4 linked regions of the Pelodiscus sinensis genome follow. The protein of the gene in region 4 interacts with the protein of the main gene of each other region in a pairwise test. Links are inferred from orthologs where the notes say so. Each region holds a gene or a part of one and is shown on either strand. Other genes may lie near its edges.

What was found.
Region 1: the proteins of KCTD9 (region 4) and LONRF1 interact in binary tests that used the Homo sapiens proteins (3 or more experiments, as listed by UniProt). The two-hybrid records come from large-scale screens. The link is inferred for Pelodiscus sinensis from reciprocal best matches to the Homo sapiens genes KCTD9 and LONRF1.
Region 2: the proteins of KCTD9 (region 4) and TRIM42 interact in binary tests that used the Homo sapiens proteins (3 or more experiments, as listed by UniProt). The two-hybrid records come from large-scale screens. The link is inferred for Pelodiscus sinensis from reciprocal best matches to the Homo sapiens genes KCTD9 and TRIM42.
Region 3: the proteins of KCTD9 (region 4) and NUP35 interact in binary tests that used the Homo sapiens proteins (3 or more experiments, as listed by UniProt). The two-hybrid records come from large-scale screens. The link is inferred for Pelodiscus sinensis from reciprocal best matches to the Homo sapiens genes KCTD9 and NUP35.

What each region holds. Positions count from the first base shown.
Region 1 is NC_134715.1:84,012,346-84,020,078, forward strand, and holds the start of LONRF1 (LON peptidase N-terminal domain and RING finger protein 1), read left to right. Parts: upstream 1-4,619; 5' UTR 4,620-4,990; coding exon 4,991-5,600; intron 5,601-7,733.
Region 2 is NC_134720.1:12,774,881-12,782,638, forward strand, and holds the start of TRIM42 (tripartite motif-containing protein 42), read left to right. Parts: upstream 1-4,579; 5' UTR 4,580-4,650; coding exon 4,651-5,003; intron 5,004-6,606; exon of another isoform or gene 6,607-7,030; coding exon of another isoform or gene 7,031-7,044; intron 7,045-7,440; coding exon 7,441-7,758.
Region 3 is NC_134717.1:49,734,193-49,741,403, forward strand, and holds the start of NUP35 (nucleoporin NUP35), read left to right. Parts: upstream 1-3,861; 5' UTR 3,862-4,111; coding exon 4,112-4,145; intron 4,146-7,211. UniProt on the Homo sapiens protein: Functions as a component of the nuclear pore complex (NPC).
Region 4 is NC_134738.1:9,382,501-9,390,622, reverse strand, and holds the start of KCTD9 (BTB/POZ domain-containing protein KCTD9), read right to left. Parts: upstream 3,059-8,122; 5' UTR 2,865-3,058; coding exon 2,817-2,864; intron 1-2,816. Other genes in the region: CDCA2 (cell division cycle-associated protein 2), read left to right, coding at 5,430-5,970, 7,380-7,507. UniProt on the Homo sapiens protein: Substrate-specific adapter of a BCR (BTB-CUL3-RBX1) E3 ubiquitin-protein ligase complex, which mediates the ubiquitination of target proteins, leading to their degradation by the proteasome.

The sequences.
Region 1 (7,733 bases), on a different chromosome or scaffold from region 4:
ACTAGTAACTCTCAATCTTGTGTGGCTGAGACTAGGAGCAAGCTATATGCCAGTGTGTAAGCAGAACATGGAGTGGTGGTTGTTCACTAGCAAAGTGGTGTATCAGGTATCCCAGAGTAGAGAATTAAGGGGACACAGCTGTTCAATACTCCTCATTGTACCCCGGGGAAAGTCACAGCCATGTTTTTAAAAGGGAATTTTCACAGACTAAATTTGTATAACACCTTACCTAGAATCAACTACCATGGCTAACAGCCATATTGGAATCCAAGACAATTATTAGATCATTCACTGTTTCAGAAATAGTGAATGAACAGTGAATTTGTTGCTCAAATTTTAGAGCTCCAATCTTCAGACCCAATTTTCCCGGGTACATTTGGCTCAGTCAATCTCCACTTAAGACTAATTAGACATTTCAGTTTGGGATTGTCTATTCTATAGCCCTTTTAGCATGTCTGATCTAATAACTTATATACTGTATTTAAGATTGTGTCAGCTATCCTTATATACATCATATATCCTATTATATAATCTATAGCCAAACTCCAATTACTGTTATTTAACTTCCCAGTTCTAAACTTAGCATCTGATCCTTGTATCTCCACAACCTTTGCCCCATCAGTGTGGTGATCCCCATTTTCCTATATTGTGGCAGAAACTTTTGCTAGATACCTTCAACTGTCTTTGTCTGCCTTAAATGTATAACAATCTGTTTTTGTGGCTGCTCTTACCATAGTACCAATAATGCAAAACCACCAATTGCTCTTTTTTTTACAAACCAAATGTATGTGTTTGAATTGTTCAGTGAGATCATGAACTAGATCAGAATCCACTCTATCATACATATTAGACACAGAACTGTACTTTCAGATATAATGCTGATCAGATTACATCTTCCACAGTACTGGTTGCTCCCTCTTTTGGTGAACTTCTGCAAAGTTCTATGGAAAATTCCAGTCTCTGGTCTCCTTTTGCTGATCTTGATCTGCAAGTCCAACTCCCAGCATGTATTAGGATGTAAACAAGTCAACTATACAATTAACCGATAAACCTAAGCTTATCAGTTAATCTAGTTGACTACTTACATTTCTCCCCTTGTGGCCTCTATTTGAGAGGCCACAAAGGGCGGGGGGAAGGGAGCTGGGGGGAGCTGGTGCTAGGGGGAGCCAGCTTAAAAGCAGTTTCTCTCCACCTGGCTGCAGGGGAGGCTTCCGCAACGCAATCTGTGCCCACAGGGGCCCCCAGTTCCCTCCACTGGGACCCCCAGCAGAGGGAGGCAGCAGTGAGAGGTAGCCCTGCCCCCAGGGACTATAGATACAAAACTGGTCAAGATAGTTATGTCCACAGCAGACTGCAAAGAACTTAAAAATGACCTCACAAAACTGGGTGACGGGGAAACAAAATGGCAGATGAAATTCAATGTTAATAAATGCAGAGTAATGCACATTGGAAAAAATAATCCCAACTACACACATTGTGGCAGAGCTCCAGTCATACCACTGAGTCCCACACTTCCTTGTGGATTTTTATTATGCCTCAGAGGCTCACAGTGACACCCCCCCCCCACTACTTCGTCTATTCCAGAGGCAAAGGTCCCCACTTAACAAGCCATCTTCATCACAGGCAAGTCACTAGCTTGGGAGTAAACCCTTCCATGATCCTAGAGTCTCCTTCCCCCCCGTGGCAGCCTACCAGGCATGGGAAGGATTGGGGGCACCCAGTCCAGCCGTTACTCCAGGTTCCAGCCCAGGGTCCTCAGTGGCAGCCACTACTGTGGCTTTTGCATTTATTCTACAAAATAGTAGCCTCCCCCTGGGCCATTTCCCTCGCCACTCCCACAAAACCTTCTCCTTGGCACTTTGGTAAAAACCTCTCTCAGTGCTTCTTCATGCTGCACTTCCTCCCCTCTGGTCTATTACTCTTCTCCTCCCTCCCCACCCCCCCATACCTGAGGGGCAAACCTTTTATAGTCGACCAGCAGGCCTTAACTGGCTGCAAGTCTCCGATTGGCCTGCTTCTGCAGGACAACTCTGAAGGATTCTCAGGTGCCTGACTGTCTTGGTTACTGAGCAAAAGTCTTTGGCAGCCTATCCAGGAAACAGGAACCCACTCATCCAACTCCTGGGCTGTTGGAATAAGGAATAAGGGACCTTTCGGAAAAGGCTTTATTTTCCGAAAGATCCCCGTCTAGACTGGCACTTTTTTCCGGCAAAGCCCCGCGCCGGAAAAAAGTGGCAGCCATGTTTATACAAATGAAGCGGGGATATTTAAATCCCCCGCTTCATTTGCAATTCCGACTTGTCTCATCTGCATCCCTTTTCCAGAAAAGGGGTGCAGTGGTAGACACAGCCCTGGTGTACCTACTGTCCACCAAACTCCTGCAGCCCACTGCCTTTGATCTGCCACGATATAAAATGATAGGGTCTAAATTATGTTACTACTGAAATGAAAGATTCTGGAGTCATCATGGATAGTTCTCTGAAAACATCCACTCAATGTGCAGTTGCAGTCAAAAAACATATAGACTGTTGGGAATCATTAAGAAAGGGACAGAAAATATCTTATTGCCTCTTTATAAATCCACAGTGCACACACATTTTGATTAGTGTGTGCAGATGTGGTCACCTTATCTCAAAAAAGGTATATTGGATTTGGAAAATATTCAGAAATGGTAACAAAAATGTTTAGGGGTATGGAATGATTTCTGATAAGAGAATAATTAGACTGGGACTTTCCAGTTTGAAAAAGAGACAACTAAGGGGGATATGGTAGAGGTCTATAAAAGCATGACTGATGTGGAGAAAACAAATAAGAAACAGTTATTCGTTCCCTCCTATAACAAGAATTAGGGGGTCACCCAATGAAATAAGTAGCAGGTTTAAAACAAACAAAAGGAAGTATTTCTTCACAGGGTGCACAGTCAGCAAGAGGATGTTATGAAGGCGAAGACGATAAAAGAATTTAAAAAAGAACTAGATACATTCATGAAGGATAGGTCCATCAATGGCTATCAGCCAGGATAAGCAGGGATGGTGGCCCTAGCCTCTGTTTGTCAGGGATTCAGAGATAGGGCATGGATTACTTAGTGACTACCTGGTCTGTTCTTTCCTTGTGGGGCACCTGATATTGGCCACTGGCAAAAGACAAGATACAGGGGTTTGTTCTGATCCAGTATCGTCTTTCTTATGCTGTCATAGGCTTCTGATTGGGTTTCTTGTTTTTCTCTGGGTTCTTCTCTGTCCTCCCTTCCCCACTGTTCTCCCCACCATCTACGTAAACACTGCTCCAAATCTCCTGGACACACCTTTCATCTGAGATGGGGCTGATGCTTACAGGTATGTTCACTTTAATGTGTGACCCTTTAATATTATTGGCTATGACTAGACTGCCCCCTCTTGTGCAAGAGAATATGCAAATGAGGCAAAGTGGTGAAAATTGCCATGCCTCATTTGCATACTTAAGCTGCCATTTTTGCGTAAGGGACGTTTGCGTAAAAAGGAGCCATCTACACAGCTCGTTTTTGCGCAAAATCTCCCTCTTGCGCAAGAGCAGTTCTTTCTGAAAAAAAGCAGCAGAACAGCTCTTGCGCAAAAGCCCCTAGTGCAAAAAATGGTGGCTCATTAAGTAAGCAAATGAGGCATGGCAATGCTCAACTCTTTGCCTCATTTGAATATTCTCTTGTGTAAGAGGGGGGTAGTCTAGACATAGCCATTAGGGTTTTAACTCACCCCTTTAAATTCCACCCAACTCCTAATAGGTCAGGGCCTAGTGTACAATCCTGGTTCAAGAGGGATGCTCTTTGGCTTTACAACATCATAAGCAGTCTCTACCTCTAAGAACAGGCACTGAGTTATATGGGCCTGTGATGCACCAGGTCCAGAAATACTCTTTGCTCAGTCCAGGCTTCACCAAAGTTCACTACCTGCTGTTTCCTGCCACCCCATGTGTGTGCCCTGGCCCAGACTGCCGTTCCCAGCTGACTTAAAAATCCTTGGAGGGCCCCACCATCCCTACAGCCGAGCTTGAGCCCCACAGCTGCCGGCATATGGCTTCCCGTGCGCGCTGCAGCACAGGGAGAGGGTGTCTGCAGGGCGGGTGCTTCTCCAAGGCATTCTTGACGCCACCAAAATTTCTGCCCCGCTGTCCCCACCATGCTGTAAGTTGCAATGCCCCCTGCACCACCCAGGGGCAGTCCGGCACTTCCAAACACCTGCGCAGGCTCAAAGAAGCATCTGGAGCCAGAGGCCCGCCGGCGTGGGCACCGCTGTGAAAAAAGAAGTGCACGTGTTTGGCGGCGGGGGTGTGAGCGAAGGGGGAAGGTACTGTCCTATAGGTCCCCCTATAGGGGACGCTGTAGCGCAGAGGATCAGGCATTCGCAGCACAACAGGGCCGAGTCTTCGCTGCCTGTGACAGCCTCTTGTACACGGGGTCCCGCCCAGCCCCGCAGAGAGGCTGCCTCGCAGCTCCCACTACAGCGGGGCTCTAACCTCCCCAGGGCGGGAGCTTCACATGCGCAGTCTCCTCCTACTGCCTCAGGCCCCGCCCACTTCCCGGGCGGGCTCCGCCCTGGGCGCCTGCACGCCTCCAGGCCCCGCCCTCTCCTCGCGGAGCTCTGGCACGCGGGGAGCGTCGAACTGTGTTTTGTAATCTCCTCCGCCCCTTCCCCCACGCCGTGCCTCTCAGCCAATGGAGAGTGCCCGTTGTGGTCAGCTGACGCAGCTTTTTATGTAAGCCAGCGGCGGGGATTCACCCGCCGGTCTGCGCCGAGGTTTGAAAGGGGGTAACGGTCTAACGACCCCTCCGTCAGGCTGTCGCGCTAGGGCGCGCTCGTTCCCCGGTCCCGTGCCCCTCCCCCTGCCGCCAGTGCCAGCACAGGGCCGTGCGCAGAGCCGAGCCCAGCCTGGCGAGGAGCCGGAGCGGCGCGGCGAGCGCCACACCCCCTTGTGGGATCCGGGCGGCTCGCGGGGCAGGGTGGGGGCTCGCAGCAGGATGGCGTCGTCGGTGGCTGTGAGCTCGGAGGGGTCCCCGGAGTCGGGGGGCAGCGGGCGGCCCCGCGGGGAGCCCGAAGGGGAGCAGGAGCGGCTGCTGCGGCGCGGGGAGCTGCTGGCCCTGGGCAATCATCTGAAGGAAGCGCTGGAGACTTATTCGGCGGCGCTGCGGCTCGGGCCGCCTGCGGGACCCCACCGCCTCGAGACCCTCGTGGACTGCCTGGTGCTGAACTACCGCTTCCGACAGGGGCTGGGCGGGAGCCGCGGTCAGGGGACTCCGGGGGAGGGCGGCGGCGGCTCGGCCGCGGGGCCGCTGACTTGCTGCGGCTGCCGGGGCTTCCTGGGCGAGCCGGTGACCGCCCGGTGTGGGCACAGCTACTGCCGCCTCTGCCTCCGGAGGGAGCTACGCTCCCGCTGCCGCCTGTGCCGGGACCTGTTGCTGCCCGCCGGGCCGCCCCAGCTCCGGACCAGCGTCGTGCTCAGTCAGTTGGCGGAGAAGTGGTTCCCGGCCGAGTGTGAGAGGGCAAGGACCGGCAGCCGGCTGGGGGAGCTGTTGAGCCAGGGGCGCTTTCGAGAGAGCCTAAGCGCCGTCAGCCAGGCCCTGCAAGCAGGTAACGGACTGGGGTTAGGGGAGCTCAGCTCTGTAGCCCAGGGGGCGCTTCGGTTGGGTGACACGACAGGCAGAGTCTTGGCTCCTCGGCTGTGTCGCAAGGAGCTGGCTTTTCTTGTCAGTCCTCTGACGCTTCGTCTTCTCCCTGCCCCCCTTCTCCCAGTCCCCTGTCTAGCCCGCCAGGAATCAGTCGGGTACGAGTCGAAGCTGGGAATGAAGTAAGCTGCTGAAATCACGAGGGGAAACTGGCGCAGGGTTCGGCCCTTTGAAACAAGCCTGACGCATGCTAGAGCTCCAGAGATGACTTTTGCTAATGTTGCTAACTCCCCAGAGGAATGAGTAGGGAGAGAACCAGAAACGTGGGGCTTTCTGAGGAGTGGGTGGTGAACATGTGAGGGTTATGTGTGGAGTGGGGCACACTTGCTACAGCTCTACTCCACACTATTTTCCCAGCATAGCTGTGCCCTCCCTCTAACATAGACGTTGTTGGAAGGAGATGGTCTCTCAGAACCATGCCAGCTGTATTTGCTTTCGTTACAAAGAAAGGCCTTTTTTCTTAGCCTCTCAAGTGTGTCACTAAGACAGTTCCCAGCAGGCAAGGCCTAGTTGCATAAGCAGATGGGATATGGAGGGGGACAGGTTGTGTAATGCTAGTGACATCACAGATGGGTGTGGTAGAAGTTTTATAATACTGTACACTGTTGGGAGAGAAGGCAGGGGGAAATGAATGGGTGTGCTTGGATTATTATTGATCATTGACAACATGCTTGGGATTGCACAGATTCCTGTCTAATCAGTGAGGTTGGTGTAGGTCATCTAGGTATTTAGACGTTATAAAGGTGGGCAAGATAAAACATTTATTCAGAATAATGCTACATTTCCTCTAATGGTGCCTTAACCAAATTCATTCTTCCATTCTGAAATTAAGTGCTGGTCTCTTTATTTTCGCTATGGTTGATCAGAAATTTAGTCTTGTGTGTTTAGCAATGATACCTTTATTAACACTAAATTTTTAATATTTTGGCAGTGTATATGTGGAATTGCCAGCTGCAGGAGGGTGGGAGTTTAGATATCAAGCTAAACAGATTCATTTGATATCGTTGTCTCTCTGCATCTAACATTTCTCCCCAGTATAGATCAGAAATTTTAGAATAAGCTGTTGTCAGAATCAGATCTTAAACGGGAGTGTTGCAGACTATTTCAAACATCTTTTGGAAGCATAATATATGTGGTTGTAAACTGTTTCACTTATAACAGTGTCCTAAATTAGTTTTTAGTACTGTTGTAGCATCCTGTGTAAGTGGAGCCAAAGAAGCATGGAGTGTCCAGAGGGATTTATTTTCTAAATAGAGACTTCTTAAGAATTAAAATAGTTCATTTTAATGATCTAGTAATGACCTAGAATTTAGCATTGCTAGGGAATCCAACAAATAAAGCATAATCTAAATGGGTTTCGGATTATAAATGGGTCACTATACTTATAAATGTTTTATATGGAAGACTGCACCACTGTGGTTTAGGGTTTTTGAAATAGAAGAAAGAAATTTATTTTTCTGGTTAAACATTAAGAACATAAGGGTACCCCCCCCCCCCCCCCCGTCCTTCATGGCTCTGCTTATGGCTTTGATTGTCATAGTACAAGTTGAACCTTTCTAGTTTGGCACCCTTGGGAATTTGCTGGTCAGTAGTTACTAGCGGGATTACCAACACTTCCACTGCTTACTGGACTCTTCGAAGAAATTTGGGGTAAATTAGAGCTAAATAACAGCACAGAACAGTGAGAACCCGGACTGGTGACAAAGAAATTTTATGGGATTATGGGAAACTTGGCCACACCCATAAGTGGACATTGAGACAATGGATTTTGATAGACCAGAGAGTGCTGGACTAGTGAACTTCAACCTGTACTTAGTTTACATTTAGGTTGGGGTCTAACCAATGGCTGATAAAATCTGAAAATACAGCTTTCAATCTTAAACTTTCTTTTTTTTTAACACAGATTATTCAAGCAACTATTACACTGTACACTTGCATACTCAGACTGAGTCTTCATACATTGTCTGCAGGGCCGGCCTTAAGCCGATTTGGCCGAATCAGGCCCCACGCCTAAGGAGGCCCCGCACCTGGAAGTCTG
Region 2 (7,758 bases), on a different chromosome or scaffold from region 4:
CCGGTCGCCATTTTTAAATCCCCCTTAGTTCGAACGAACTGCCTGCGGCTACACGCGACAGTTTAAAGTTAATCCGAACTAAGTCTTAGTTCAGATTAATTGTTACACCTCATTCCACTATCTCCCAAATAGTTCTTGACAGCAAGTTAAGGAAGTATGGATTGGATAAATGGACTGTAAAGTGCATAGAAAGCTGGCTAGATTGTTGGGCCCAATGGGTAATGATCAACAGCTCAATGTCTGGTTGGCGGTTGGTTTCAAGCGGGGTGCCTCGAGTATCAGTTCTCTGGCTGGTTTTATTCAACATCTTTATTAATGACCTGGATGAGGGGATGGATTGCACCCTCAGCAAGTATTCAGATGAAATTAAGTTGGGGGAAAGGTAGATATGAAGGAGGGCAGGGATAGGGGTCAGAGTGACCTAGGCAAATTGGAGGATTGGGCCAAAAGAAATCTGATGAGGTTTAATAAGAACATGTGCAGAGTCTTACACTTGGGCTGGAAGAATCCCAATCACTGTTACAGGCTGGAAACCAACTGGATAAGCAGCAGTTTGGCAGAAAAGGACCTGGGGATTACAATGGATGTGAAGCTGAATATGAGTCAACAGTGTATCCATGTAGACAAGAAGGCTAAAGGAATATTAGGGTGCATTAGGAGGAGCATTTCCAGCAGATCTAGAGACGTGGTTATTCCCCTTTATTCAGCACTGGTGAGGCCACATCTACAGTATTGTATCCAGTTCTGGGCCCCCCCACTACAGAAAGGATGTGGGTCCAGTGGAAGGCAATCAAAATGATTAGGGGGCTAAAGCCCATGACCTACGGGGAGCAGCTGAAGAATTGCTTTTCTGATGTACTTATCCAGAAATTCTTCCTGAATACAACCCATAAAGAGATTGATATATTGTAAAGACACCCTACTCTCCATGGTTGTTTCAGTCGTTTGGATGAACTGTTTGTCATTGAATGTAAAATTGTTATGGGTGAGGATGAAATGGATAAGTTTGGTGATGTGTTTGGGGTAGACATCTGAGTGTTGCCCATTTTCTTGTAAACATTTGAGATAGGCAGCAATTCTATCATTGGGAGGGATGTTTTTGTATAGGAAGGAAGTGTTGGTAGGCGGCAAAGGATGGTGCTCTGAGGGAGGTTGTTAATGTTATAGGTTTTCTTCAGAATGTCAGTTGTGGCCCTTTATGTGTCAAATAGTTTGAAAATTCCTTCCATAATAGTGCCTTGGCCATGGTTCCTTTGTTTGTATCTCGGGAAGCATAGAAGGTCCCTTGCATGGGTTTGTGAGGGATTAACATTTTCTTGTATTTCCTGAGAAATGCCGTCAGTGCTAAGTCAACCATTCCCTTCCCATGCCAGTGAATGACATCGGCATCAGACATACCATCTACTGTCAGGTCTTCATCCATTTAGACAAATTTGGGTAGGGAACAGAGTCTTCAGGAGCCACCATTATTGTCAGGTCAGGATTTACTGTTGTGGTGTCCTGATAGGTCTTCTGCTCTGTCAATGATGATAACTAGAAGGCTGCTTGCATGTGCTCAGTGATGTGTGCTGTGTTGACTTGTAGAGTTAGTTAACACAGCAGACTTCAAGAAAGCCCGCAAAGACACAAATCAGATAAGGATCAAAGGTGCCCAGTCAGGTTTATTGTTAAGCGAAGTACAGTAATAGTTGTCAGAAGATTCTACCAAGCCACTATGTATAGGTACACCAGAAAAATGGACCCCCAGCTGTTCGAGGGAAGCCTCAACCTCTGTCTGGGAGTACAATTCTTCCACCTGCACCCCATTGTGCACCACCACTTCTAGCAGCTGGACACCAGTTCCAACTGGTGGGACCGGCTTGTGATGGAGCAGTGGGGCAACCAGCAGTGGCTCCAGAATATCCGAATGAGGAAGAAGAACTTTCTGGAGCTGTGTGCCTGACTTGCCCCTGCCCTCACATGATGGGACACTCAGATAAAACCCCCCATCTCCATGGAGAAGTGGGTCGCCATCGCTATCTGGAAGCTCGCCATGCTGGAAAGTTAGAGATCCATTGGCAATCAGTTTGGCATGGGGAAGTTGACCATTCAGGTCCTCATTGTGCAGGTATGGCACTCTCAGGCTGCAATACCAGGAGGGGGGTAGGTAAAGTGCTGGAAAGGGAAAGTCTAGGGAAAGGGGGGATGGCTACATTAGAGGGTGGCACCTGGTGTGGGTGGGCATGAAAGGGGGGGGCTTGGTGGCCTCTCAAGGACTCTGTCACCCCAGTGATTCTTTGTCTCCTTCTGTAGGTGGGGACAGCCATCAACACCATCCTGCTGTGCAGGGTCATCCAGCTCAACAACATGGACCTCACCGTCACTGGCTTTGCCACCATGGGCTTCCCCAACTGCAGGGGGGGGCTATTGATGGCACCCACGTCTCCATCCAGGCCCTCGACCACCGGGAATCTCTCTACATTAATCACAAGAAATACTTTTCTATGGTCCTCCAGGCCTTGTTAGACCATGGCAGGCAGTTTACAGAAATTTACATCAGGTGGTTGGGGAAGGTGAAATAATGGAATTGCTGTATAGACGCTCACATTGTTATTTCAGAATAATGACTGTTATTCTGAAATAACAGTTTAGCATAGATGCATCCTCAATGGCTATGAGTTACACCAGCTTTCATGTAGAACAGGACTGAACCCCTTTCCTTGGGATCTGTCTGTAGCAGCAGAGGCCTTTCAGGAGCCTGGAGCAGACTATCAAAAGAATCAAGATTGGATCCATGATAAAAATTGTCAACTTTGTAATGTTTGGAAGGAAAAACTATCTTCAACGGGAAGGTCTTGTACTGAGGACACAGGGCCAGCTCTTAGGCATCCTTGATTCACTTAGGGTATGTCTACCCTAGCTCGGTAGTTCGAGCTAGGTAGGCAAATGAGGGCAACCGGAGTTGCAAATAAAGCCCGGGATTTAAATATCCCGGGCTTCATTTGCATCTTCCTGGGTGCCATCATTTTTAAATCCCCCTTAGTCCGAACTCCGTGCCCGTGGCTACACAGAAAGAGGTGTACCGCTACTTCGAATTAGAGATCCTACCCTCATTTGCCTATCTAGCTCGAACTACTGAGCTAGTGTAGACATACCCTTGCTGGCTTTGCCGCAGACTTTCTCCATGAACTGGGATAATACACTTAATCCCTCTGAAAATCCTGCTGTTTCTCATCTGTAAATGGATATCATGCAGATATAAAGGGTAGATGCTGAAATTGTGCCTCTAGGAATGAAGTCTTTACATCACCAATCCAAAGTGATGGGAAGAAACTGGAAGAGGAGGAATTTTGAAGGATGATACAGGAGTGGGGTGAGTGGTCATCTTCCCTGAAAAAGATACGCCCATATAATGGTAGGAGAAAAATCCTCATGTTCTCTGTGGCAAGCTGCATCTACATTGTGCTGAAAGGCTCCCTATGTATCTGCAGTACAGGCAGTCCCCGGTTACGTACAAGATAGGGACTATAGGTTTGTTCTTAAGTTGAATTTGTATGTAAGTCGGAACTGGCTTCCAGATTCAGCCGCTGCTGAAACTGACCAGCGGCTGACTACAGGAAGCCCGAGGCAGAGTTGCTCTGCCCTGGGCTGCCTGGAATCAGCCGCTGATCAGTTTCAACAACAGCTGAATCTGGATGCCTAGGACAGAGCAGCTGGGGCGTGCCGGGTAGGTCCCCGCAGGGGCAGCGCTGCGGGGGCCAACTGGGCAGCACCCCAGCTGCTCTGCCCCAGGTGTCCCCAAGTCAGCCGCTGCTGAAACTGATCAGCGGCTGATTCCAAGAAGCCCGGGGCAGAGCAACTCTGCCTCAGGCTTCCTGTAGTCAGCCGCTGGTCAGTTTCAGCAGCGGCTGAATCTGGAAGACAGTTCCGAGGGGCTGGGGCTGCGGGGCAGCCCAGGTGCGCCTGGGCTGTCCCGCTGCCAGCTTCCCCCGAGGCTTTGCAAAGCCTCGGGGGAAGCCGGCAGCGAGACAGCCCAGGCGCACCTGGGCTGCCCCGCTGCCTGAGCCCCTCCGCAGCTTTGCTCCGCGTCTTCCTGGTCTGCAGACCAGGGAGACGCGGAGCAGCTTTTCTCGCCCCGGAGTACACGGGCGGTGGGACCGCAAGGTCCCGCAGTCCGTGTCCTCCGGGGCGAGAAAAGCCCTGTTCATAACTGCGGATCCGACATAAGTCGGATCCGCGTAAGTCGGGGACTGCCTGTACTTTAGACATTCTGAGGCAAATGATTTCTTTCAATAAAGTCACGAATAATACAAGCAGTGTAGTGTTACTTGTGTTTATTTTATATTGCGTTCCATTTATATTATGGTGCTCCCAAAGTTTCAGCACAGTTCAGACTTTTCTGCTGGAAATTCATAAGCACCACTGGATGTGGGGAGATGTGGCTGCTGCTAGCTCACATGCAATTCTGCTAGTACCAATACAAGAAACAGCACAGGTCGATCTTAGTAATTGTGACATAAACGTGATGTAATCAGCACATCACTTACATTGTCCTTTGTTAAATAGCTCCTTGTGACATCATTATTCCTAACTGGAATGAGAACCATTTACCCCAGCTCAAAGCTATTTAAAAAGTGCTACTGTGTAAAGTGATCAGTGTTTTGTGGAACAATGGTCAGTATGTTATGCCTCAGCTGGCCATGTTGCCCAGGCTGCCGTTGCTGCCCCCCACTGCAAAGGACTGATCAAGAATGCTGTTCATGCTGGCGTTTTTTCTTCACTGATGAGCGGAATTGTAGCTGTTGCCCCTGCCCATATGCAGAAGGCAGAGCTTGCCAGTGTTGTCACTGCTCGTGTTCAGAGAATCCAAATTGTCGTTGGTGCTGCTGCTCCTGTTCAAATGACCCAGACTGCAAATGCTGTTGCTGTACTTCAGAGAACACCACCTGCCAATATTATGAAAGCAGATGCTGCAGGAATACCCTCTATGCATCATACCTTCCCAGAGCCAGAAGACGACACCAGTAAGTGCATTGGAAGAATGATTCTGAATCAGGAGGAAAATTTAAAAAATCATCTGTGTACCCCAAAACCAAACTCACACCCTGAACTTTTATTTCAATTTGGATCAAATGAAATGTTTTATTTCCATCATTTCAAAATGCTCCATTTTGCTGTTGCTCTTTAAGCTATAGATTTAAAAAAAAAAGATATTTTGAAGTGGGCAATTAGAATTTTTCATTTAGAAAATATCAAAATGGTTTGACAATTTTTCAAAACTTTTTTCCTGAAATTTATTCAAGGCTGAAAATTCTATGAAAAGGACTCTGTTTTGTGAACTGTTTGGATTTTAACAAATTCCCCCCAGCTCTAAGGTGTGTCTAGACTGCAGGGATTTTTCGAAAAAAGTGGCCTTTTTTCAAAAAATCTTTATCTGCATCTAGATTACTGCCTCATTATTTCAACAATAAATTGAAAGAACGCAGTTTTTTTTTTCAACCATGGTAAACCTCGTTTCATAAGGAATAACGCCTTTTTTTGAAAGTGCTCTTTCAAAAAAAGGCTCTATGTAATACAAACTGTGCTTTTTCGAAAGAGAGCATCCAGGTAGTCTGGATGCTCTCTTTCAAAAAGGCGGCTTGCTTTTTTGAAAAAGAAATGGTTGTAATCTACACGCTCTTTTTTGAAAGAGGCTTTTTCAAAAGAAGTAGCTTTTTAGGCAGTCTAGACGTAGCCTAAGTGAGTGAAAGCCCGAGAAAATGAAAGAGAGGAGTGTGCAGTGAGATGGGACACATGCTTTCGAAAGAGGCATATGAAGTCTGATGTAAGAGAAAAATGCTGACTGAGGGTATGTGTACTCTAGAGGAAGATCGAAGCTGCCGCTGTCAGTCTTCCAGGGTTCGAATTAGCATGTCACGTTAAGACAGCCAATTTGGACTGTGAGGGATGGTCCAGTCAATGCCGGTAGCCCTGCTTTCACAAGAAGTAAGAGAAGTCGAAGGGAGAACATTCTCGCTTCAACTTCCTGCTGTGTAGACAGCGCCAAAAGTCGAGTTAAGGTACTTCAACCTCAGCTACGCAATTAATGTACCTGAAGTTGTGTATATTAATTTTACTTTATCCCATAGTCTAAATGTACTCTAATAGAAAATGGTGGGCAAGGTATGGGAGTAGAGGAAAATGAAGAGTCAATTGCATAAAAAATCTTCTCAAAAGAGTAAAAAGATGGGATGATGCTAGTTTTGAGGGGAGGGAATTGAAATACGTACAGCACCAAGCATAGATTACATTAAGGAACCACAATGGGGGGAGGGGGAGATATGGCTCTGAGAAATTGTAGCCAGACCAAAGTAGTGCTAGTAACAATAAAAAGTTAGACTGCGAGTAGAGAAAAAAACTGATTGATCTGCTGAGCTACATGACACGTAAGTGATTCTTGCCTTTAAAATATGTAACTCTGGCTCTGAAAGGGCAGCACTAGGAAGAATCTGTTTATTTATGATATTACACACAATAATTGATACATGCAGGAGGGGACAGGCAACAGCCGAGGGGGAGAAGCAGCAATGTGGGAGTGTGTGAGGAGCTTTGGAATATGGGATTAAACAGCAGCAACAAGCATGGAGAGGAAAGAAAAGTAGGAGTGAAGGCAGCATTAGAGAAGCAGGGAGTGGGTACAAAGCCACAGCCAAGTCTACAGCAAAGACTGAATGATGAGGCAGCAATTTTATCTCATCGTTCTAGTGACTATATTAACCAACTGAGCTTATGTCATCTTCATTGGAATGATCGTGGAGAGACAGTTGGCCAAGTTTTTCAAAAGTGACCAGGAAGATTCCAAGTGCCCTGCTGGATACACATTAGACATAGCCTGACTTACAGAGCACTTTCTGAAAATCAGGCTTTTTTAAGGCATCCCAAGTCAGGCATTGAAAACTTTAAAACACCCAACTCACTTTTTAAACTTTTGTCCACAAAGAATCTTGAGTTGGCAATAAGGTGCCATTATAACACTGACTTTGATTCTCCTTGTAAGTCAAACTACAGTTAGATGCAGTTGTTGAGGTACCTTTTTATTTTACTATTCACATGTATAACAACTCATTATAATTTAACATGCAAAGCATATAAACAAGAAAAAGAGATGAAATTAAATACAGGTGTTTGCTAGTGATGTTTGTGTAACAGCTGCAACACTTGTGGTTGGTAATGGCAAAAGGAATATCTTGCAAAATAAAACAGGCAGCTTCATATACACTGTACAAACCAATATGCAACTATTACTGTGAACAGAAATGCTCATTGCATGTACTGCTGGCAGAAGAAAGCACAGTCGTAACCTGTTTCTTTAAATAAAAATCTTGGGGAAAATAGAAATTGATGGGGTTGTACAACATGACCATGTGCATTAGAATCTGTTTCTTACCGAGAATCCATTTTGGGGGGGGGGTTATTTTTCAGTTCAAAAGTTGCCTTACCAAGGTTTCGAAGTAAAAGTGACACATCAATCATTACACTGGAGAGAGATGCATCAGGACATGCTTTTCGTGACCAGCTCACTTGTCCATTGTGTAAACAACTATATCTCTACCCATTTATGCTGCCATGCAACCACTGCATTTGTGAGAAGTGTATAGATAAAAGAAAAGCCCAGGCTGAAGTAACTGAGAACTTCTTCATCATCATATGCCCAGTGTGTGTGAAAGCACACTGCCTCCCTTACACTAATAAAATACAGCTGAACATGAATTATTTGAGAGCCAAACTAGCTAGGAGATA
Region 3 (7,211 bases), on a different chromosome or scaffold from region 4:
CTGGGGTGCTGCCGGGTTGGTCCAGTAGTGCCCAGAGCGGCACTGCGGGACCAACCGGCAGCGCCCCAGCTGCTCTGCCCCAGGGTCCACAACAAAAGCCTGGTCTGCTGGGGGAGGGGGGCACACTAGGACACAGGGAGCAAAGCGGCAGCGGGGGGGGGGTGCCTCGCCTCTGAGGCTTTGCTCTGGCGCGGGACCGCTTTGCTCCTGGTGCCCCTGGTTTGCTGGAGACGGTCCCCAGCAGACCAGGGGCACCGCGAGCAAACCCGCAGCCGCGGCTGGGTCCCCGCGCTTCTGAGGCTTTGCCAGAGCAAAGCCTCAGAAGTGCAGGACCCCGCCACGGTTGCGGGTTTGCTCGCGGTGTCCCTGGTCTGCTGGAGACGGTCCCCAGCAGACCAGGGGCACCGGGAGCAGCTTTTCTCGCCCCGGAGGTCGAGGTGGCTGACTGCTGCCTGTGCGCTCCGGGGCGAGAAAGCCCCGTTCGTAAGTGCGGATCCGACATAAGTCGGATCCGCGTAAGTCGGGGACTGCCTGTATATGTTTCAGTAGTTAAATTCCTGGACTGTCATTACTCATTAGAAGTGCTCTCCATGGGTAGAAATTGGGTAAATACTGCATTTTATTAATATCAGCAGAACTGACTTAAATGGGGCGTGTGTGTGGTGTATTCTTGCCTTAATCTTTGTATTCATGCCCATCAATGTGAAAGAAGCTATTTGCATATATATTTGCAAGTATATGCAACCACACTTAAGTTGCAGCTCTTGGCATATGCTGAGAGTATCATTGTGGCCCTCAGGCTTTCCAAGGTTGAGTAACCCTGCCTTGAACTGTCATTTCTGAATTTAAAGATCTACGAGTGAGAGGAGGGTAAATTCATTTTCCCCACAATTAATACTTCTGCTTTTTATTTGTGATTTGATATCTGGATCAATTAGTGTAGCTTAGAGCAGCAGTTCCCATCTGCTGGTCTGTAGACTGTTGCTGGTCTGCCTACTGCTGGCTGCTCGGCTGGTAACATTTTATTTACATATTTATTATTTACATAAAGAATACGCAAATAAAATGTGGCTGGTCTGCCAAAAGTTTGTGAAAGGGTTTGCCGGTCAGCAGTATGAAAAAGTGGTTCCCAACCTAACTTAGAGACCAGCTTTTTCCCGACATTCTTCCATTGAATACAGCCTCTGAGTTATGAACTTGGACCCCATTTAGTTACACGCGACCGCGCTGTTCGTAAGCGCAGGTCGCGTTCATACCTCGGGGACCGCCTTTATGACTGCTCCATGGGAGCTTTGGTCGTAAGTGCGAACAGTCGTAACTCAACCGTTCGCAACTCGGGGAGCAGCTGTATGTCTTTCCCAGGGTGGTGAGAGAACAATCAAATAAGTTCTGCTTTGTTTGAAATGGTAGTTTTAACTGAACTGTCTGTGGTAGTAGCAACAGAAAAAGAAAATAAAATACAGGCTCAGATAATAAACTTACTCCATTTACTTTAATACCAAGTCCAATCTTTACCCATTCTAGCTTGTCCTAAAATCTAGATAATAAATGGTTCTTATTATAAAATGTGTTGGTGTTTGCTCTTACGTTGATCTTGCAAGGCAAGACAGATTTTTATTGAATTCTGTGGGTTGGCCAGACAGTAAGGAGCCTTCCCTTCCCTTCTTGCATCCTGTTCAGAGGCTGGCCACAAACCTCCGTAAGAATAAAGGAAGTGCTTCCAGTGGAATTTTCAGTGACCTTAGTCTCCAAAACAGGAGGGGAAAACTTACCTTTTCCTTTTTATCCCCTGCAACACACAGTACTTAGGCCTGTTCAAAAAAAGTTTTGTTTTTTCAGAGTACAAAACTACAGTTCCAGTTTGCACTCTCTGAAGCTGTCCACTCTGCAAGTCCCAGGTTATAGTTAATATATTACAACCCACAATGTTGTGTACACTTTCTTCGAGAACAAGGAGAAAATACTGCCCTCATTTGCACCCATTGAAACCAGTAATATTAACTGGTTTAAAACTGAATTTGAGATGATATAAAGAAGTAGTGACAAAAACAGAAGTTTGAAGCTGAGCTACCTAAAAGAGGTAAGATGATGGTGGAAAAATTAGTTTTTTTTCTTTAAGTTATTTGCCTCATTGTCCAGCCTTCATAATTGGGATAAATATCTCAAGGTGAGAAAGTCAAGAAAAAAATAGGTGTGAGCTTTAAAAGTTTAGATTTAATTTCTTTACTACAGGCAAGATGTTTGGTTTCACGATTCCACATTTCTGATGTTTCAATTTGCAGTAGAAATGAAACAATACAGGGGTTGGGTGGGTTGAGTATAAATGTGTGTGTAAAATGAGGGACAACTGAGAAGTTTGGCTATAAATATATAGTGCCTTTGGGCATTGGTAATATGACTTGATAGATATTGATATTTATAAATTATGGCCACTGTATTTGATCATTATTGGCAAATCACGTATAAGCTAAACTGGAAAGTATACCCCAAGTCTATTATCAGGAACGTTAACAATAGGGATGTAAGTGACTAGTTGACTATGCAATAAGCAAACGCTTATTGTTGGGTAGTTGACTAGTGACTTGATGAGTTGTTCCACCCCCTTCTTCCCTCCCCCCCCCCCCCCCCGCCGCCTCTATTGGAAAGAGTGGAGAGAGGCAGCAAGGGGGGGCAGGGGAGAGCAGGACCCAGAGCTGGGGAGAAGCTGGCTTAAAAGCCAGTTCCCCCAGCACCGTCACTGTGTGGAGAAGGGACAGGGGTGCAGTGGGGAACTGGCAGTGCTTCTGCCCTTGAAATGAAGCAAGAGCAGGGTGATCTGCAGGGGCTCTTGCACATTTCAAAAGCAAAGTGCTGCCAGGAGCTTGGGGCCAGTAGGGGATCCTACTGCCTTTTTAAATTGCAAAGCTGTAGTGCAGTTTGGTCTCAGCACATGTCAGGACTGAGCTGGGCTGCCTGCCCAGCCAGTAGCAGCTCCTGTCCATGGAAGGTCCCAGTGGGAAGCTGGCACTCCCCACGGACTGGGGCTGCTATCCCTGAAGCAACCCCTGGCCATGACGCCTGGATGCAACCAGGGATTGCTTCGCAGCAGCAGCAGCCCATCTGTGGGGTGGGGGGCATCCCAACTTCTCATTAGGACCCCCCACAACCAGGGGCGCACCTCCCTGCCTCAGAGGAAGCAGGGACCTGTGGGGGAGACAGTGCTGGGGGGAAATGGGTTTTTAAGCTGGCTCCCCCCACACTAGCTCCTGCTCACCCCCCTTTGCTGCCTCTGATATAGAGGCTGCAAGGGGGGGAGGGGAATGCGAGTAGTCAACTCATTGACTAATCTCTTACATCGCCCTTATTCTTGTGTACCTCAAACCCTCTCACACTCACAATGCACTTGGACTGTGGTGTGCAGACAGCTCTTGTTTTTTCAACTATTTTGTTATTTAAATGGGGGAAAGGGGAACACTGCAGCGTCCTTAGTTGGACACAAACATTTAACATGAGGTCGCCTAGTATTTTATTTGTAATGATGATGCAAATCTTTAGACCCTTATAAAACCAGGCAAATTAAATTACTTCCCAGGCAACTAGCAAATCCATAAAAAAAGAAATGGCCTCAGGGAGGTGAACCCCAAGAAGCCCGCCCTGGGATCTGAAAGGCAACCTACGCTCTACCCCGCCCCTTAACCCGCGAGCCTGTCCCTCCTCCAAAGCCCTGCCCAGCCCCCCCCCTTGTACTGCGGCCAGCGGTTGGGATTCGGGAGGGGGCGCGAGACGTGGTGCTGGGCACGTGACAACCTCACAGAGCGATAGCGATGAGCCCGGCATGGCAACGGGGAGGGGAGGGGAGGGGAGGGGAGGGGGCTCTTTATCGGCGGCATCACGCGTCCGAGGTTCCCTGGCGGGGCAGAGCAGTAGCTAAGAGATGCGAATGCCAAACAGCCTCAAAGTTGCCGTGGCCGCGCCCCTTCCTGTCCCGAAGACACTCTCCCGCAAGATGGCTGCCGGGCGAGGCGGGAAGTGACGTAACCCCAGCGCGCCTCGCGGCAGGCTGAGCTTCCGCTCTGTTTGAAAGTGTTCGCCGCGGCGGCTGCTGCTTCCCGCGGTTGTGGGTCTCCGCGCGATGGCGGCCTTCGCCATGGAGCTGCCGCCGGCTGGTGAGCAGGGGCCGTTGTTGCCGCGGGGCAGGAGGGACAGACCCGGGGCCGCCGTGTCAGCGGCCTGGCTCCCCGTGTGTGTCGCTGCGGGCTCCCCGTGCCCCACGTGGTAGCGCTGCCGGGGCTGAGGGCGCTGCCAGCTGGGCAGCTGCCCACAGGCCTGGCAGCGCCTGCGGCTTCCCGGCGGGAGCTGCTGCCTGGCCGGCCTCGGGACCCGTCCCATCATGGCTGCGCGGTCCCGGGCCCGACGAGCTCTCCCTCCTGCCGGGGCGGGGGCGGGACCAGTAACCGCGCCCAGCGCTGCGCGTCATGACACTCGCGCGAGACGCTAGAGGCGCCTGGGCCGGCCGCTGACACTCCGCGGGAGTCAGGTGTTGACACCCGGGCCTGAGCCACTGTCACTGCTGCCGGGTGGCTCAGCCGGGTAATGGAGTCGGAGTTCCTGGCTCCGAGCTGCAGCAGGGCACGAGGAGCAGGGACAGTCGGATGTGAAGTTGATTTATTGTTTTGTTAAAGTATCAACTATTTGACTGTCCATAAGGTGTCTCTGCCTTTGAAGTGTAGAAACAGCCGTAGGGCCCTTGCTGCACTTTAAAGGCGAAAGCTCCACATGGAGCCCAGGGTCAGCTGGGGAGTACTGAGCTGAGCCCAGGCTCCAAGCAGCGCTGCCACTTTGAAACATTGTGGTGGGAGCCTGGAGTCAGGCTCCTCACAGCATTTCAAAGCTGGGAGAAGCCTGATGCTGGGATCCTGCAGTGGCATTTGAAAGCTGCTCCACAGGGTGCTGCTGCTTTGAAGTACCCCTCCCCCCTACCTCTTTCTGATAGAGGCAGCAAAGGGGGCAGGGAGCGACTAGTTGTCAAGCTTGTTGACTATCTGCTAACCATTTGCTTATCGTGTTTCCCAATTGGTGTTCAGCAAAGTGAAAGTAGGGGTTCTGCCAGGAGCCAGCACTCCCCCACCCCCTCTAACAGAGAGAGAGAGAGAGCTCCAGCTACCAGCTTTCTTAAAGAAGCAGCACACTTGTTTCCCCTTCCTCCCTGGTGATGCAGAGGCATAGCAAGGCATGGGAAGAATGGAACAGCTGCTCCCAGCTGGCACACTGGGGGGGTGCCAAAAAGGGGTGACCCCACATGACCCACAGCGGGGAGGGAAGCACTTCCCCTCCCCAAAGGAACCGGCACGCACTGCCTGAATGGCTGTGGCACCTGGTAACGTAATTCCGTGGCCTTTCTGTGCGGGTGCGGGAGGGGGATCAGGAGACCCAGGTCTGTGCAGTTCCAACTGTGCAGGCAGCGCTTTCTGCCCTGGGACTCCCCTCCTACCTACCTGCAGGATGGCATCATGGAAGTAAGTTGCTGGAGTGCAACAGCCCCTGCTGTTCAGGCAGTGTGCACACCAGCTGTTTGGGGAGGGGAAATGTAGTCACACACTTCCTGGAACCCAGAGGTGCTGCAGAATTGCCAGGTACTGGTTCCAGCTGCCCCTGTCCCCTGCCCAGACCCCCCCCCCCCCGATTACCCTGTCCCCTGCCCCCATCAACACTGTGCCTAGCACCTTGTCCCCAGCCCCAGCACTGCCACCCATCCCAGGACCCTGTCATCCACCCTAGCACTTGCATCTCCCTGTCCCTAGCCCCAGCACCTTGCCATCCACCGCAGTCCCCGGCCCCAGCACCCTGCCATCCACCCTAGCACCCAGCAGCACCCTGTCCCCAATCCCAGTATGCTGCCATCCACCCTAGCACCCAGCAGCACCCTGTCCCTGGCCCCAGCACTCTGCCACCCATCCTAGCACCCAGCAGCACCCTGTTCTTTGTCCAGCACCCTACCACCCACCCCAGTGCCCAGCAGGACCATGTCACTGACCCCAGCACCCTGTCACCTGTGCCAGCATCCTGCCACTCAGCAGCACACTCTCCCTGGCCGCAGCACCCACTAGCACTCTGCCTCCACCAGCACAGTTGGGACCATGTTAGTGAGGCTTGGGGGTTTTGTAGAGGGTTTTTTTTATCTCACTTGTGTGGCCCCAATTGACTTTTCTGTGGAACAGTGACCTTTGACTCAAAACAGGTTTCCCACCCCTCTCATTAAGGCAATGCTAAAACCTTTTGAGTTTGACATAATATTTTATTTGAAAATGGAGTCTGGCCAACATGCCCCCAGTTGGGGCCAAATCCCCATCTCACTGCAGCATCATAACACTCCTGCACCGCCTGACCCCAAATCTGAGCCTATCATACACTGGAACCCCCTGTCCTGAGCCTCTTACATCCCCACAATCCTGCATCCCCACATCCTCACTCTTCTGTCCCAACACTCCTGCACCATCCACACATCGCAGATCCGTGTCCTGAGCCCATCATACTCACAGCCTCCTTACTCTGAGCCCCTCACATATCCAACCCAAATTCCTGTACCCTCACATCCACAAGCCTGTGACTTGCTTGGCACCCCAACCCTTCACCTGAGTCCAACACTTCCCATCCTGGAGCCCCCTCCCCAAGCCAGCGTGCCCTTCTGCATCCAAATTCCCTCCCAGAGCTTGCAGTTCTCACCCCGCCCATACCCAAATCCCTCATTCCCACCCCTGAGCCCCAGGTCTCCTGTCTCAACTCAGTGAGAGTGTATAAGGGCTGGGGATAGCAAGTGATAGAGAGGAGGGGAACAGAGAGGATGGAGCCTCAAAGGGGTGGGGAAGGAATGTGGTTTTCATGCATTGGTGGGTTCCCATCTTTTTTTTTTTTTTTTTTTCCTTGACAAACCTAGGGGTTCCTTATCATAGAACCATAGAGCTGGAAGAGACCTTAGAAGGTCATCGAGTCCAGCCCCTTGCTCTAGGCAGGACCAATCCCAACTAAATCAACCTGGCCAGGGCTTTGTCAAGCTGAGACTTAAACACCTCTAGGGATGGAGACTCCACTACTTCCCTAGGTAACCCATTCCAGTGCTTCACTACCCTCCTAGGCTGTGTCTACACTGGGCCACTTATTCCGGAAAATCAGCCGCTTTTCCGGAATAAGCTGCGAGCTGTCTACACTGGCCCTTGAATTTCCAGAAAAGCAAC
Region 4 (8,122 bases):
TCTGTAGGTGAGGATTGGCATGCCCCCAAGGCCTGTGAGAGTGAGGGGTCATTTTTCAGGATAGGTTGCAGATTGATAATAATGCACTGTAGGAGTTTAAGTTGGAGGCTTTAGGTAATGACCAGTTGTGTTCTATTGCTTTTTTTGTTGGGCCTATCTTGCAGAAGCTGATGCCTGGGTACTCGTCTGGCTCGGTCAATCCGTTTTTTCCACTTCTCCAGGTTAGTATTTAAGTTTTAAGTGACAGACCCTTCCCCCATGCTTTACAAAGTGGACTCTTGGACATGCATATACATAACTCAAAGGTGGTTTGAGCGAATTATTTCATGTAACCTATTGATCTTCATGTCATGATCTGCTGGTTCTGTTTATCTTACTCTGTTGTATGTGTCATTTGTGTGTACAAAATTCGACACAAGGAGTGGGGAATACTTGGTGAGTTTCAAATGTGTGAATGGGAGACATGGAGGGCGTTACCTGCAAATTCTAGATGAGCCACTGTTAAACAATCTTTTATCCTTAAGTCTGAGCAGTGGCTGGTAGGGAGTGGCCTCAACTCCTTAACAAAAGGAATAGGAAAGCAGAGGCCTGGATCTTTTGGCTGAGCTGCACCTGAAGGAAGGAGCCTGAGACCCCAGGCTGGGGAAGAGAACCCTGGTTTAGAGTGGCAGCTGGAAAAGAGATTTTAGGGTGAGTTTAAGTTTGCACTGAGGTTTCAGTGGAGAATTAGCCAAGCGGTTTTGTTTCTTTTGATTATTTGTAACCTACTTTGCTCTACCTACTTTCTCTTATTACTACTTAAATCCTACTGCTTCAACTTAATAAAACCATGTTTATCTTCTATCAAACCCAGTGTAAGCGATTGTTACCTGGGGAGGCAACCAGTGTGCACATTCCCCCTTTCATTGCTAAAGGGGGCTTACCTAATTCTTTGGGGTTTGATCCCATCTGGGGAGTGCTCTCTCAGGAGGCTGGGTTCTAAACTGCACTCTCCTAGGACCTGGAGTGGTTCAGTGTCTGTACTGCTTCTTCGTGGGGGCAGGGATCTCAGCTCAGGGCCTTGGCTGGGGGAGACCAACGGAACTGGCCCAGCCAGACCAGACAGTGAGGAGCCCCAGAGAGAAGGAAGGACAGTGGCAGTGGCGGTGTCAGCACCCTGGGAGGCAACCCCAAGGGGTCATCTGTGACCGCACCCCGTCACACAACTGACTGAGAAATGTGTGTTGAATGGAAGCTAGAGGCATGCAGGTAATTATAACAGTCGGTAGGTTTCCGCTATAAGGTGATGAAAATGTGACTGTCCTGTAATGATGCGTTTCCCAGGTCTGTGGATCTTGGGTAGCAGATATAAAGCTTCTGGTTGGTGTTTGTGAGTGTGTTTGTGTAAATCTGGTCCTGAGTTGTATCAGGAAGTTTAATGAGCAGGTGGTTTAGTTCTTTTTGGTGTTTAGTGGAATCATAGGAGAGAAGCCTGTAGAAGCTGGTGCTGGTGAGTTGTCTGGTAGCCTCCTGTTCATAATCTGTTCTGTGCATGCTGACTACAGAATTCTCTCAAGTTGGCACACTTACAGCAGGACTATCAGATTATACTGACTCCTCAAACCCTATGCCACCAACACTCTCAGCTACCAGGGGCAGCAGAGCGGGGTGGCATGCGGGAGCCAGTCCACGAGAGGAGCTTCTGATAGAAAGGCAGTAGCATGTGTTGGCAATGGCCCCTGTTTGTGGGGAGTCCAAGCTCCCAGCAGACAGAGGCTGCTACGCATTAAAAAAAAAAGTTACATATTTTTTAAAAACCCACGTTTTGTAATGTTTAAAAAAAAATCCTGTATTTTTCTACAGCCCGTACTTACATTACACCAGAGAACGGTGTGAGTTGCAGCAGCAAGATTTACAATATCTACCCACTACCCCAGCCAAATTAACACAACCTGCAAGAACAACCACAACCTCCTCTCCCCCCAAGGATTTACACTGTGATTCACAGGCAATAATTCCCATCCACAAACCTGCGACACCCACAAAGATACACAGACCGAGACCTTAGCATTCACCTACCAACAGGGCACCAGGGGCATTCTTTCCCCGTGCCCCCCAAGTCCTGCTCCTCCTGAGAGCTACACTGCCTTCCCTCCATGTCCTCACCCAAAGTACCCTTCAAACCCCATTCCCTACCTAAGCCCCTCCCCCATCTGAACTCCCCCTCAAAACCTACCCCTCAAACTCCGCCCCAACTAAGCCCCTCCCCCACCTTAACTCCCCCTCAACACCTACCACTCAAACCCCGCCCCTAACTAGGCTCCTCCCCCTCAACTCCTCCCCCTCAAACCCCGCCCCTAACTAAGCCCCTCCCCCGCCTTAACTCCCCCTCAACACCTACCCCTCAAACCCCGCCCCTAACTAGGCTCCTCCCCCTCAAACCCCGCCCCTAACTAGGCTCCTCCCCCTCAACACCTCCCCCTCAAACCCCGCCCCTAACTAGGCTCCTCCCCCTCAACACCTCCCCCTCAAACCCCGCCCCTAACTAGGCTCCTCCCCCTCAACACCTCCCCCTCAAACCCCGCCCCTAACTAGGCTCCTCCCCCTCAACACCTACCCCTCAAACCCCGCCCCTAACTAGGCTCCTCCCCCACCTTAACCCCCCCTCGCATTCCCTCCCGCTTCCAACGTCTCCTCTCCCTCGCGCACCCCCCCTATTAGTTCCCCTCCCCCACCTCTTCTCAGGGTCCCCATGCCCCCCCCAAAACGTCCTCCCCCACCATGCAAGCTCCGGAGTCCCCCCGCCCTCTTCTCCTCAGAGCCCCTTGCCCCCTCACCTTCCCATTCTTGGGGGTGCCATTGACGAACAGGGTGACCCGCCTCATGCTCCTACGATGCTTCTAAACCCGGAAACCAGCAGCGGTGACTGACAAGGCCGGGACCCAACCAGAGCCGCACTTCCCCCTCCTCTTGCCCAATAGAATGCAGAGGTGGGAGGGACGTTCATTGGTGCAGGTGTGTGGAGGTTAGGCAGGGAGAATTGACAGGGGGCGGTCTGCCTCGGGGGGGGGCGGGGTCTCGGTTGTAGCCAATCAGAACTCTTACAGTCAGGCAGCTTGAAAAGAGTAGGGCGTCACCCTTCACGGCCAAATGGCATGAGGCGTATTTGCATAAAAGGGGGGTCGACTCACTCCCCGCCTTCTGATTGGCTCGTGTATGTCACGTGAGGGAAGGACCGGCCGTTTGATGGGCTCTATTTCAAAACTAAGAACTCTCCAATCGCGACGAAGCTCTGTTCCCTGCGCGCTGCCGGGACTCGCTGCAGGGAAAAGAGTCCCGTGTCGCTGAGCCGCCGGCAGAGACTGAGCACCTAAGTCTGCCAGCGACAGCCTTCTTCTTTGCCCCTTCCATGAGGCGGATGGCACATGCGCAGATTGGTGGGGCTAGCAGGGGAGGCGCCTCAGCGCTGGCCCAGCCTGCGGAGGGATACGCACGTGCATGGAGGAGGCAGTGAGTTTGAATGTTAGAGGCGCGTCTAGCCTAGTGGAGTTTCCTCAGTCGGATCGTTCGGGATCCAGGAGCCGCTGGGGGTGAGGGGGGAGCGGAAGCAGGGGGAGGGGCGGGGGAGGCTAATGAGGGGGGCAGGGGGCGGGGGAGGCTAATGAGGGGGGTGGGGGGCGGGGGAGGCTAATGAGGGGGGCAGGGGGCGGGGGCGGGGGAGGCTGAGGGGGGGCGGGGGTGGGGTGGGGGAGGCTAATGAGGGGAGCAGATAATGGGGTGGGGGAGGCTAATGAGGGGGGGCGGGGGTGGGGGAGGCTAATGAGGGGGAGCAGATAACGGGGGTGAGGGAGGCTAATGAGGGGGGCAGGGGGCGGGGGAGGCTAATGAGGGGGAGCGGGGGTGGGGGAGGCTAATGAGGGGAGCAGATAATGGGGTGGGGGAGGCTAATGAGGGGGGGCGGGGGTGGGGGAGGCTAATGAGGGGGAGCAGATAACGGGGGTGAGGGAGGCTAATGAGGGGGGGCGGGGGTGGGGGAGGCTAATGAGGGGGAGCGGGGGTGGGGGAGGCTAATGAGGGGGAGCGGGGGTGGGGGAGGCTAATGAGGGGGGCAGGTATGATAGGAGTTGAGGAAATGCCCATGGAAACAACTGGTTGGAGAATGGGCTGGGGAGGGAGGAAGTTGCTGGCTGGGTGGATATTGCTTGATAGACCCTTGGGCACAGGGGCTCTTCTCTGCTGCCCCTCCTGGAGCTGTGTTGGCCCCTGTTACCGGGTTTCTTTTTGTCATGTGCTACATGCCCCTGTGATCCCCTTGAGAATATGTGGAATATGCTCCCTTTTCTCTTTGTGCGCGCCCCCCCCCTCCCTTCAAGCTGCATCCCCTTGGATGGGGGTCAAGAATGTGCAGCAGTGAGCAGCAGCTGTGACTCGGCATGCTTGCCCAACAAAATTTCCCGTCTTCTTTTCTACCCATTGCCCTCACTCTCCATTTCACCTTGTTGCCCAGTTGAATGACAGGCTTTCTGTACCACCAAGTGCTCCCAATCTATGGTCACATTTTAGTATGATAAAGGGAACAATGAAACAACTAAAAGTAGATAACCTGGGCCTCCCATTCATATATGTCAAACAATGCCACATGCACAGCATGGTATAACAGGCTTTTCCCCCTTCTTAAAACACCTGTTATTTTAAAGGATCAACTTACTCTTAATACTCTGTTCCATCTGCCAACTGGTGTTGAGCTTTTCAAAGCAGGAAGGCCCACTTTGATATTGAATAAACCTGCAGCATCATGTTGTTACAATGTTCTTTTAATAACATTTTGTCACAGCCTGACACACTTAGTTAAGCATTGTGATGCTCAGGTGCAAGACTTGTGCTTATACTGCTTTGAATTTTGGGCATGAATTTCTGTTTAACTTTTCACTATCCTATTTGCCATACTTAGATAACATCTTTTTATTTAAATGAACAAACTGATTTATCCTGTTGTGCTCTAGATGATCATTATCTCAGAAGCTGGATATTTCTTTAATGAAAGTGAGTACTGGCTTGTGCATTTTTAAAAAAACAACAAATGATATGGTAGCACTTTATAGACTAGCAAAACATGTAGATGGTGGTATTAGATTTCGTGAGGTGGTGATTTGGAAATCTCCACCGTAATGTTGAATTAGCTTAGATGGTTTTTGTGTTTAATATAGACATCAACATACGTCAGAATGTTATGCATATAAGATCTGATATTTACAGTAAACTTCATAGCTAACATTTCATGCTTCTCTCCATAGAATGGCAGCAGTATCTTCTAATGGCTTGATGTCTGCATGTTATGGTGATTGCTTTTACAAAAAAACATAATGACGACGTCTTAATGACAGACGCATGATTACAAGAGAGCAACAAGACTGGTCATATTTTTTTAAGCTCAGAAAACAGCACTGACAATGCGCAGAAAATCTAGACAAATTATAAATACTGTTGCTGATGTCAAAGAAAATTTGAAAGGACTTATTGAAGAAGAGAAGGTTTATTCTCTGCCCATTCCAAAAGACAAGTTTGTCAAAATGGATGAATCAAAAAGCTCATACCTTTCAGAAATTGAAAATTTAAATGACCTGAGATCTACACATGTATTTAAACCTGGAGTAAAATGCAACGAATACATAAGGAGAAAATCATATCAGAACAGCAAGGATGATAGTAAACTGGCAGTAAACAAAAGCCTTTCTTTTAAACTAAAGGGAAACTTACTTCAACCTTCCTTGTCCTTTTTGACAGCACACAAACCTCAAAGTCCTTTTTCAAAAGGCAGCCCTACATTCTTGGATGATGCAAGCTATGTGACACCTGATAAAGGTGAAGCAGATGTAAAACCAGATTGTGAAACATCAGAGAATGTAATGAAGACACCTGTTGATTTTGCAAGTGTAACTATAGCTGAATTTGGGATTACTCCAGAGTCTTTTACTGCTAAGCCATCTATAGGTAAGGGGTTAGCAAAGTGACTCTTGGAATGAATGTTTCAAAATACTGTGGTTCATTTGTGAATGAGAACATTCTCTTAAATATTTAATGGTGGTTGTGAATGGTGGTCCAGAAGATTTCAGGGCATTTGGGACAATTTCTGATAACACAGATATAGGTTTTATAAGTAGTGATTTGGAAATAGTACAGGAGATGGAAATTGTGAAGAATTGTCCAACATTCATTATAGCTGGTGTATAGAGTAATTTGCTATTAAACATGTGTTTTCTTGGGGAGAGGGGAAATACTATGACTTCCTAGAGCTCTGTTAAGCCTATTCATGGGAATAGGATCAGATGGAAGGAATTTTGAAAAGGTAACAGAGCTTTCTTCCTCCTACATTCTTTTATAGCCAAATTTGGCTATTTCTGTCAGTGGCATAGGCTCTTCATAAGTAAAACTAAGTGTGAGATTTCACGATCAGTAGGTAGACAGGGTTTCTTCCTGATGTCCAAATGACAGTAAATTTACACCTTGATAATTACACCATGATTGTTTCACAGCAATACTTTTTATGTATATTGTAGTGATGTTTACATCATCATTTTCTACTGTTCCTGTTTAAGGGCACAAAAGAGAGCAAAGGAGGATGTTAAATAGGTTGCTAAACATGTTTTCAAACCGATCTAGGAACTGTCAATATAGTTCTCCCATGGAAACAGTGTTAGACTTCAAATTAGGAATGTGGGTTTTTATTTTGTTTTGGCTTTTCTGATGCAAGGAAGCTGAGGGAGGGTAGTTTTGCATGGCACTATTCTCGCCCACTCACAGCCCCAAACCTGGGAATTCTAGCAGAACTTCTCATGAAAGTTTATGTTGGTCATACAGCATTAACTTTCTATCTTCTGGTTCTTGTACTGTGGAGAAGTGTTGAGTGAAGGAACATTCATGCTGTCAAGGAAGGGGATACCCAAGAGTTGATATGAAAGAGTTTTTCCTTTTGAGCTTTTTTGTTTTTACTTTCTGTAAAGACCTTTTCTTGTTTTCCCTTTCTGTATACCAGTACTGTGCCTGATTTCTGGATACACACAAAGCAAAGAAACTGTTCTATGCTTTCCGTGAGAGAGAGAGGGTGGGTGGACGCACGTGCGCACACACGACCTTCTTTCACCTCTTCCACAAAATTGTTGTGGAGTTTTCCTTCTCTAACAGTCTTTTGATTGTTCCTGTGAGTTATGTAATACACTATCAAGATTTCAAATGCTTGCAGTTTTTATTTTTTCTTCTAATGAAGACAACTGACCAAATACAAGACTTTATATAATGCCTACATTTTTTTAAATAGAAGCAATTTCCCTGGTATTTTTAAATACTTGTAAGTGTTCTCCTGAAGTTTCATTGTGCTTTTTCTTGCATTGTTCTTGTTTCAGAGAAATCCATGGCTTTAAAACTTAAGCGCAGATCTACAATTGGAGTACGGGGTTCCCCTGAAAATAATAGCCTTATTCAATATCTTGCCAAGCAAAAGATGAGGAGAACTGAAGACCCATTCAAAACGGTGGGAATTTTTTCAGAGTTGCGCAGCATGGCTAGCGGAGAAAATTAGCTTCATGTATTTGTGGTATCTGGAATGAATGGAACAGTGTTCTCTATTTTACTTTTGTAGCCAAGCTTTTTTTAGTTGAGATTTTGAATGTTAAGAAAATTACACTTAGAGCATGTTTATTCTACCATCTTAGTTAACCTATGTTTAGGGCGACTTAGTCACTAAAATAATTACTGTGGTGGCTGATCTCCATACTACCCACCTATCAGTCATGTGTGTCCTCTCAATGAGTGCTTCCACAGATTGAAGAGGAACTGTGGGGAGGGAGGGCTGAGAGCCAGAGCTCTCAACTTTCCACAGCTCCCTGCTGGAGCCCACCTATGCCCCATGCCTCATCTTCCAGCTGGGAGCAGAGGAGAAGCCACTTGGGGCTTCTGGCTCTGGTGTGAAAACTCACACCATACCCAGAGTCTTGCTGTGCTCCCAGTAGAGAGCCAAGGGTTGGGGACAGCTGGGCTTCCAACTAGGTAGGAGCTTCAATACAGTCAGGGTATGGCAGCAGCAGGTATCCTGGGCGACTGGTTGGCTTGTGGGGGGCAGCTTGGGGAGCCAGGGGCCAGGCTTTCT